2 linked regions of the Drosophila melanogaster genome follow. The protein of the gene in region 1 purifies or fractionates together with the protein of each later gene. This does not show direct contact. Each region holds a gene or a part of one and is shown on either strand. Other genes may lie near its edges. The genes, in order: CaBP1 and CG1092.

The links.
Region 2: the proteins of CaBP1 (region 1) and CG1092 purify together in Drosophila melanogaster (affinity purification with mass spectrometry, with the first as the bait; one large-scale study listed by BioGRID). This does not show direct contact.

What each region holds. Positions count from the first base shown.
Region 1 is NT_033779.5:16,354,267-16,358,836, forward strand, and holds CaBP1 (calcium-binding protein 1), read right to left. Parts: upstream 2,470-4,570; 5' UTR 2,287-2,469; coding exon 2,274-2,286; intron 2,205-2,273; coding exon 916-2,204; 3' UTR 620-915; downstream 1-619. UniProt on the Drosophila melanogaster protein: Binds to both apoptotic cells and phagocytes and promotes Drpr-dependent phagocytosis of apoptotic cells.
Region 2 is NT_033777.3:4,264,811-4,268,942, reverse strand, and holds CG1092 (uncharacterized protein), read right to left. Parts: upstream 2,174-4,132; 5' UTR 1,970-2,173; coding exon 1,738-1,969; intron 1,683-1,737; coding exon 730-1,682; 3' UTR 627-729; downstream 1-626.

The sequences.
Region 1 (4,570 bases):
CCCTTTATATACACAGGTTGTACTTAAATCGAAACCAAGTACTTAATAATTGTACCATGCCAATCATAGTTTAAGCGCCAATCTGCCGCCACGAATACATTTAAGAAATCTTCAGTTTGTGCATTTAGACCAGCATGAGTATCCTTCTATATATTGTGTCAAAAAAAACGTTTTTAGACGTTATATAGCATTAAGTCTATCAAAGTTTATATACAAATCTTTTTGGACATTTTTATGTGAGTTTTACATAAAATAAATGGTTTTACCTCACCCAACGGTAAAATTCTCACACATTTTATTGGAATTTGGGGTGGTAATGAACTAATTCTTCTGTATTCTATATTAAATTCATTGATTTACAATAACTTTATATTTATACAGCGCTACGTTGGAATACATAAAAAACTAATATGTATATCACTTGTTGATTCTTGGATGTGATGGTGCTATTGAGTTTTTGAAGAAAACAAGCATATTTGATGATTCATTTCAAAGAAATAACTGAAGAATGATCTATTCATAAGCCAAACTCATTTCCATAAGGAAGAAAATGTAAACTGAATTTTACGGATATTAAGAATTCTTTTCTTTGTATAAAATTCAACTTATGCATTTTTTTAAACTCGCTAAGCACGAAACGCGCTTTTCCGAACCCGATTAACACTTGCCCAGAATTTACACGTTTTGTTGCACAGTTTATTCATTTTGTGGTACATAGTTTATATGATCGTTGGTTTCGATTCGTTTAGATCTATGTGAGGATTGTAGAAAAACGCTAAAAGATAATTAAGAGTTATTTATATTTAGATACGATGGCTGACTAATGAATATCATTCAGAATGCAAGTGTTTGTTAGTTTAATAAGTGGAAATTTGAGCTTGGGCCGCACAGTCTTGATTTCCGATCCTCACAGCCTTACAGCTCGTCCTTATCCAGATCGATGTCGCTCAGATCGATGTCCTCCTCGGTGGGCAGTTGGCCATCTTTGCCGTCCCAAGGATCCACGGACACAATCGCCGGCTTTTTGGCTCCGCGAACAGGCGCCGTGTGGCCACGTCCGTAGGAGATGTCGCGCAGGAACTCGTTGATGCCGTCCTTGGAGAAGGAGCCCTTGAGCACGGAGAATTTCATCTTCTTGAAGTTGACCACAGCCATGGCCGGATAGCCGAATCCGCCCACTTCGAGCGACTCTTCCAGGGCCAACTGCTGGCCACCTTCTGCCCAGGCCCAGCCCCATTGCTTCTGCTTGAACTTCTCGCCCAGGGTGCGCAATGTGTCGAGGAACTTGTTGCGGCACTTGGCATCGCAGTCGAGAATGTGTGGCAGAACGGACACGACGCACAATGGCTTTCCTTCGCAGGCAGTTTCAAAAGTCGATTCATTGATAATCTCGATGAGTTCGGGTGCTGGCACATTGGCCACATGCTTGTCACTGGCCCAGGATACAATATCCGAGGCAGTGCGTCCGCCATCATACTCCTGGGCATCACTGGCTCGCTTGGAGCCCGCAGGGAAGAACTTAATGGTAGGATACCCACGCACATTGTATTCGGCGGCCTTGCTCTGATGCGCGGTGGCATCCAGGGCGCCCAACTTAACCTTGCCCTTCAATTCTTTGGCGGCCTTGGCCCATTCGGGTGCCAGGTTCTTGCAGTGACCACACCAGGGGGCGAAGAATTCCACCAGCCATATGTCGTCGGAGTTCAGGACCAGTTTGTCAAAGTTGTCCTCGGTGAGTTCGATGACATCATCGCCGGACGAGCTGCCGGAACCGCCGGAAGACGATCCACCGCCGCCGCCCAGGACACCCTGCACCTTCTTCTTGACCTCCGCCAGAGCGGCTTCAGCGATGGCCTTAGCGGTTCGCTGACCATTGTAGTCCGTGGGCGACTTCTTGTTGGCGCCAAAGATCTTGATGGTGGGAAAGCCACGTACACCGAACTGGCCACTCAGCGTGCTGTCCGCATCGGCATTCACGGAGCCCACTTTCACGACTCCCTTCAATGCCTTGGCCAGCTTCTTGTACTCGGGCACCAGGCTCTGACAATGGCCGCACCATGGAGCATAGAACTCCACGACCCAGATGGCGTCGTCTTTCAGCACCTCCCGGTCGAAATTCGAGGGCGTCAGCTCCACAACGCCATCGCTGGGCGAATAGAAGGCACTAACGCTGCCCACGACAAATGCCAGCAACAAAATGCTCGCTGCGGGGGCGTATTGAAAATGTATTATTAACATAATTTGTCTATTTCGTGCATGGGCCGGAAACTTACCCAGTTGCCTCATCTTTCTTTTTTGAGTTTGCGAAACCGCTTACGTGTCTATCTCTTGCGAGTTTATCTCAACAAATTCTTAATCAACGCGTCTTGTCGATAGGCTCTTTTAAACTAAACTATGTGTAGAGATGCGGCTTATATTTTGCTAAAAAAAAAGAGTACACGTCACTGCGAGTGCGGCGTACTCTCGATAGTTCGATAGGCGTTTCAATACTTTGTGACTATCGATGTAGAAGCCGGCAAATGCGGATACTGCTGATAATGTGAAATAAGCCAAATCTTATATACTTTTACAAAAACAAAGGCGTGATTTTATTTGTAATTCTAATTATATATACGTACAAATAACGAAAGGAAAATGGTCCGAGAAGTTTATTGCCACTATCGATATATTTCGGTATTTTAGACTGGTTCTAAAAATCCTTCAGAGCTGCCAGATAAGTTAAAAATGAGCTTATTGACAACACTGTGTGATTTGGCGGCTATTTCAAGGTTGATTTCTTAACACATTCATTAAAACCAATGCAAAAAACTTGCAAATTTCAGTGATGATACTTTTGACGTAGAATGACAAAGTTCTACTTCTACTACCCCAATGTACTGCTTTCTTTATCTCTAAGGTAGATTAAATTATCTATTTATTTCTCTCACTGTAAAAGTTAACTGCATTATTTTTAGTAAGCAACAGGCAACAATATTAAGAATATTGAAAAAACAAAGGTACATATATAAAACAATTTATTGGTTAAATGATTTTATATAATATAACATTTTCTCTCTTTCATTTCAGCCTACTATCCTTAATTGTATTTACCTTGTTAATTCCCCATTTTAATTGTTTCCTTTCCCAACGTTTTGTTTGATTTGTGTTTTCTGGAAGCTTTGGCTTAATTTACTCGCACATTGTTCTGGCTCTCCAGCTTGTTCTCCCACTGCCCTCCCCACCCACCAGCCAACATTCGAATGACCCCTGACCCTCGCCATTTTCGTCTACGTTCGTTGCGTGCGCATATGAGATAAAATATGTGGTCAATTTTACTTAATAGCGACTTAGTAGTAGTGTTGCCAAGATTTATGTGACGTTCATATTGGCACAGAAAGACACAGAGTCAGACAATTTCCTTTTCTGCCATTCAAGGGTTAATTGGAGGGAGCTGTTCAGTCGGGGGGACTGGATTTTCCCTTTATTTTGCGTGTTATTTTTATGATTATTGAATTTTAATGCATATCGAATGCACACATAAAGATTCAATGACACAATGTCATAACTTCTCGGGCGGCTACAAAACCGGTGGGTGTGGCCAACCCTTTTTTCCAAAAGTAAAGTTTATGCCACATTTGGCCTGCACTTTTTGCTTTCAGCATAAAAAGGCGTAATATTTGTATTAACTTCGGTAAAAGAGAGTCTGGCCCCAGATAAACTTACAGCACTGAAAAAAATAATATCTAATAAAACATAAATATTAGACACATAAAAAAGAAACCACCACATTACTTTATTACAATATCTGCGCAATAAGTTTAATATTAAATTTAAAGATGAATCTAGCTTAATATTATTATTTCTAGGTTTATCACTAAGTTAGAATTCGTTTCAGTGCTCGTACTTCGCCACACTGGCTTATCAAACAAACAATTTGAATGCCCAGCGGAGCGATCTTTTTATTGATACGCTACGGTGAGGGTGCGGCATAAATATTAACCCCTTGTTGCCATTGCTCCTGTTGTTGTGTCTGCACTTCTGACTTGCCTGACGCCCTGTCAAAACACCTTTCCCGAAGGATGTGCGTCTGTCAGTGACTTCAATCTTGCAGATGTGGGGCGTTTATGAGTGTGCTCACTTGCAAAAATAACTTTCTTTTTGCTACTTTTATAAAAAAATATATATGTATTAAATAAAAAATAAAAAAATGAAAAATGAGTGTATAAAGCAAAAAAAAAAATTTTTTTTATATATAAGGTATAAAGTATATTATAAAAATGTATATATAACATAAAGAGCAATGAAATATAAATACTAGTGAGCTAAATGGAATTTCTATTAATATGTAGATGTAGCTTGATTTTTAAGGCGCATTTTAGATAAGGAAAATATTTCATATCAGCTTTTTGTTCACATATATGTACATATGTACACACAATATACAGTCTCCTGGCCTTTTTTTCGAGTGTGGTCCTGAACCGTGAGATTCCTTTTTATTTTATCATCGAATGCCATTTTGCAACGTGTCATATTTACACTGCGGATTTGTCCCATTATTCACTTGACAACACCACGAGGATTCCAGTGCCCT
Region 2 (4,132 bases), on another chromosome or scaffold:
CTTAAGACATAGAGGCAGCGCAAGTTTGTTGACCCATATTTTGAAAAATGTTTTGATATGTTTTTATAATTTTATTAGACTTGTAAATTTCTATCGATTTGCCAAAAAAATTTGCCACGCCCACTCTAACGCCCTAAAACCGCCCAAAACTGCCACGCCCACACTATTGCAAAATGTTTACATTTTTTTCATAATTTTATAAGTCTTGTAATATTCTATCGGTTAGCCAAACAATTTTTTTCACGTCCACTCTAACGACCTTAAGCTTCCAAACCGGTCACGCCCACACTTTTAAGCCATTTTTAATTTGTTTTTCATTTTATTCCCCATCTATCGATATCCCAGAAAAATTATGAAATTTCGCGTTCGCATTCGCACTAGCTGAGTAACGGGTATCTGATAGTCGTGCAACTCGACTTAAGCATTCTCTCTTGTTTTACATTTCAGTTTTTGGCCACAAGCCGCCCGTATGCATGACCCACGCTTTCAAAATTTTTTATTATATATTTCTTTTTTTTATTTTTTTCCCAACTTCAATCGATATGGAAGAAATTTCTCGTTTGCTCTTTCACTAGCTGAGTAACGGGTATCTGATATTTGGGTATCTTAACTTCGCTTGTTTTTTAGTGAAAGCCATTTTTTTCAAATGGTTTGTACACCTTTATGAGAATGTTATTGCTTTTATTGTATCTCGTAAACTAAATATATGGTAGAAATGGTCTTGATCTTTTAAACACAAGTCATAGGGTTTTCCGTTTGGAATCCACAAGAGTATATGTCGTAAAAGTCCTTGTTCTGTTTAAGGCCCAGATAGAAGACATGCTCGGCCAGATCCTTCCCAAACTCACAGAAGTTCTGAGCGTAAAGAGTAAAAAATATACGCTTGTTGTCAAGATGGTACTTTTGAAGGACGCCATTTTCCTGATCGTATATCCCACTGTTCTGTGGAGGCGAGTTGATCCAGGCGCTGTAGTCTATCCAGGCCGCTCGGAAGCTCTTTAAGTAGATCACAGCCAGCATTCTGGCCTCATCCAGAACATTAACGAACTGCGGCAGCCTTAAACACTCCACATCTTCGCGAAACCGCGTGAAATCACGCTGACGCTCCAGACTATTAAAAAGCATCATGTACAAATGGACCGTAAACGTGGAGTAGAAGTAGGACATGGGCTTGTTGCGGCTCTGAAAGAGGTACATGCTCCAATCCAGCATGGTGCGCTGAACCCCCAATTCGTATGTTGAATTCAGTTTTCTGTGCTGCTCCAGATTGCGAACGTTGTGTTCGTAGCTCTCCCGGTAGATCCGCAGGTCCTTGTACTCCCGGCTCAGGTCTCTAGCATGGAAGTAGACTCGCGGCGTTTTAAATTTCTGCTTATACGTGGCCAGCTTGCTGAGAATGGGATTCGACTCTCTGTCCTTCTGAAACCTGACGACGAAGCGGTCCAAAATGCCCAGAAAGTCATCCAGCTCGTGGGATTCTCCATTGAGCATGTTTTTTGTAACTATATACCCGAAAAGTGGCTTGAAATACTCATAGGTCTCACGATAGCAGTCTTCCAGCGCGTGGTGCACGTTGCAGGAGATGAAGAAGTCCAGCGTCTTCTGCTTAGCCTCGAATGGCTCTGGATCGTTCTGCAGCTCGGTCAGCAACTGCATAAGATCGCCCATTTGCGGCATGTGTCCTTGGATAGGGTATATGCATTAGGCACTCCCCCAACACAGGCTTTCCTCACTTACCCATGATCGAAAAGAGGGGTCGATTGCGGCTACAGACGTAGTCGAAATAGCTCTCGCAGGCATACTTTTCGGTGTTGATGGAGCCCTGTATACGAACCGACAATTTTTCAAGTTCCCTTATCCGCAGCTCCGACAGGTGCCGCACGTATCCCACTTGGCAATGCCCTGAACCAGTCAACATCAACAGAATAAGCGCTACGGATGCGCCGATTGCAAGACTTGAGGTTGTCATCGCAGAGCTCAAGTCACTGGCAACCCAGCTTTTGCGCCAGCCTATCGGACCCCTCAACGGATGTCGGATTTCGTTGCACAGTAGTTCGAGAGAGAGTCACTTTTCAAATACGTCTATCACTGGGCAACGAAACTATTTAACTTCAATTGAAATGTAAGCACAAAACTCCGTATCCCCTGGTATTAAATAACTAAAATAACTTATTGAATGTTTCAATTTTTAGTAAAAACTTTTTTATTACTTTTGACAATATTTAAAAAGATTTTCTGTCCAAGTGGACAATAATTAAATGATTGTGGGCTGACATTGACATAATTTATTTTTATCATAATGAACGTTTGAAAAGCATAGATAGTATTGAAAAATGCCCTATTAGTGCAACTCAGTATATGTTTTTATGGTGTGTTTTCAACATTTTCAACTTATGCTTCTTCAACGTGTTTAACCAAAAATTTATCCGGACTTTAGAAGAACGTTTTGTTGCAGACAGTTACAAACAGTTCTCCAAAATCACAATAATCAATCTTTACCGTTTTACCTTTTTTATTTTATCGCGCACATATAAACGGTCTAAAAACCAATTAAACGCTCACATTCCTATTTTATCATTTTTACTTGAAAATGCAAAAACACCCGAAAGTTCTCGGGTTGTTTGTTGTTTTTATATTGTTGAATTATTAGAACGGATTTATATATGATCTTATTACACTCGCACCACAGTGCATTGCTCAATTCGAGGTCTTATTTTAATTCAGTGAGTGAGTTCCTATGCTTAATTATATTTCCGAAGCGATAAGAATGTCAAGTCCTATCAGGAAAATTTCTCTCCCACTGTTTTTACGATCGCGCTATTCTGGAATATGGGCTTTGCATCGTTTCACAAGTATTACGAGTTATATCTGACTAAGCGTAGACAACAGTGTGCAGTTGCTTATGAAAGGAATGATTTAAATATACATATACATACATAATATACATATATTATATTATATTTGTTGGTTTATAAAAAAAAAGTATTTTTATTGATCAAAAACTTAAGCGAATGTCGGAGACAAATTCACGTCTTACACAATTGAAGTATGAATAAAATCTAAATCTAATTTGCAAAGCGAACGCTTAGCAAACCCTTGGCTGAGCTTATTTACTTCTTCATATTGAGCGTACATAGGCTCTCATTTATGTTTACGTTAATTAGGCGCTCTCTTGAGTGGATTGCGCATGGATATAGATCAGCCGAGTTTGAGCTACGTGGAAAGTTTTGACCCTTAAAGCTGTGTTAGCAGTTTTGACCCTCTGGTGGGAGTCGCGAATGCGGCTGCGGATGTTTATGTCTGTTGGATTGGGTGCCTTCTTGAGTGGATCACTCATGGGTACTGATCAGCCGAGAACTTGAGCTGCGTAAGCGGTTTTGACCCTTTGGTGGGAATAACTGATTCGGCAGCGGATGTTAATGTTTACATTAGGGTAGGCTGGATTTGTTATTGTCACCAGAATTTGGGTTCTTATTGGATACATGATTTTATGACTTATATCCTAAGGCATTCTATGATTTTGTGTATGGCTGTTCCTATGTGGTTATGTATGTGTGTGTGTAAGTATATGTGGTCTTATACTATGGCACATATGCTACTTCCCCATCCTTTAAATTTAGCCTGTCCTCAGGCGGATATTCTAGGATACAATACAGGATTAGTATCAAATACTGTATTTATATTTTCTGTTGTTGTGTTATTTTGTTGTTCTATTTGTTGTGGATTCTCTTTTTTATATTTAACAATTAGTTTTTTGGGAATGCCTTTATATTTATAAATAAAATATAGTATAAGTGTAAGTATTATAATAGCAAGTATAGTTAATGTAATAATTTGTAATGTGTTGTATGTATTAGTGTGTTCTTTAATTATTTCTTTAGCATTTAGATATGATAATGGTTCTAATTTTGTTACATTGTTATTGATATAGACCGTTTGTGTGTAGTCTAGTGTTGTGCTTGTAATTAATATGTTTTCTATTTGAACAGAACAATTAAAAGCTTTTATTATATTGTCTCCTTCTATTATAATTTCTCTATTAATTATACAGTTTTGATTTAATACAATTTTTGATAATTTCCAAGTTAAAATTATGTTTGGTTCTACATAAGTTATTCCAATATTGTTATGT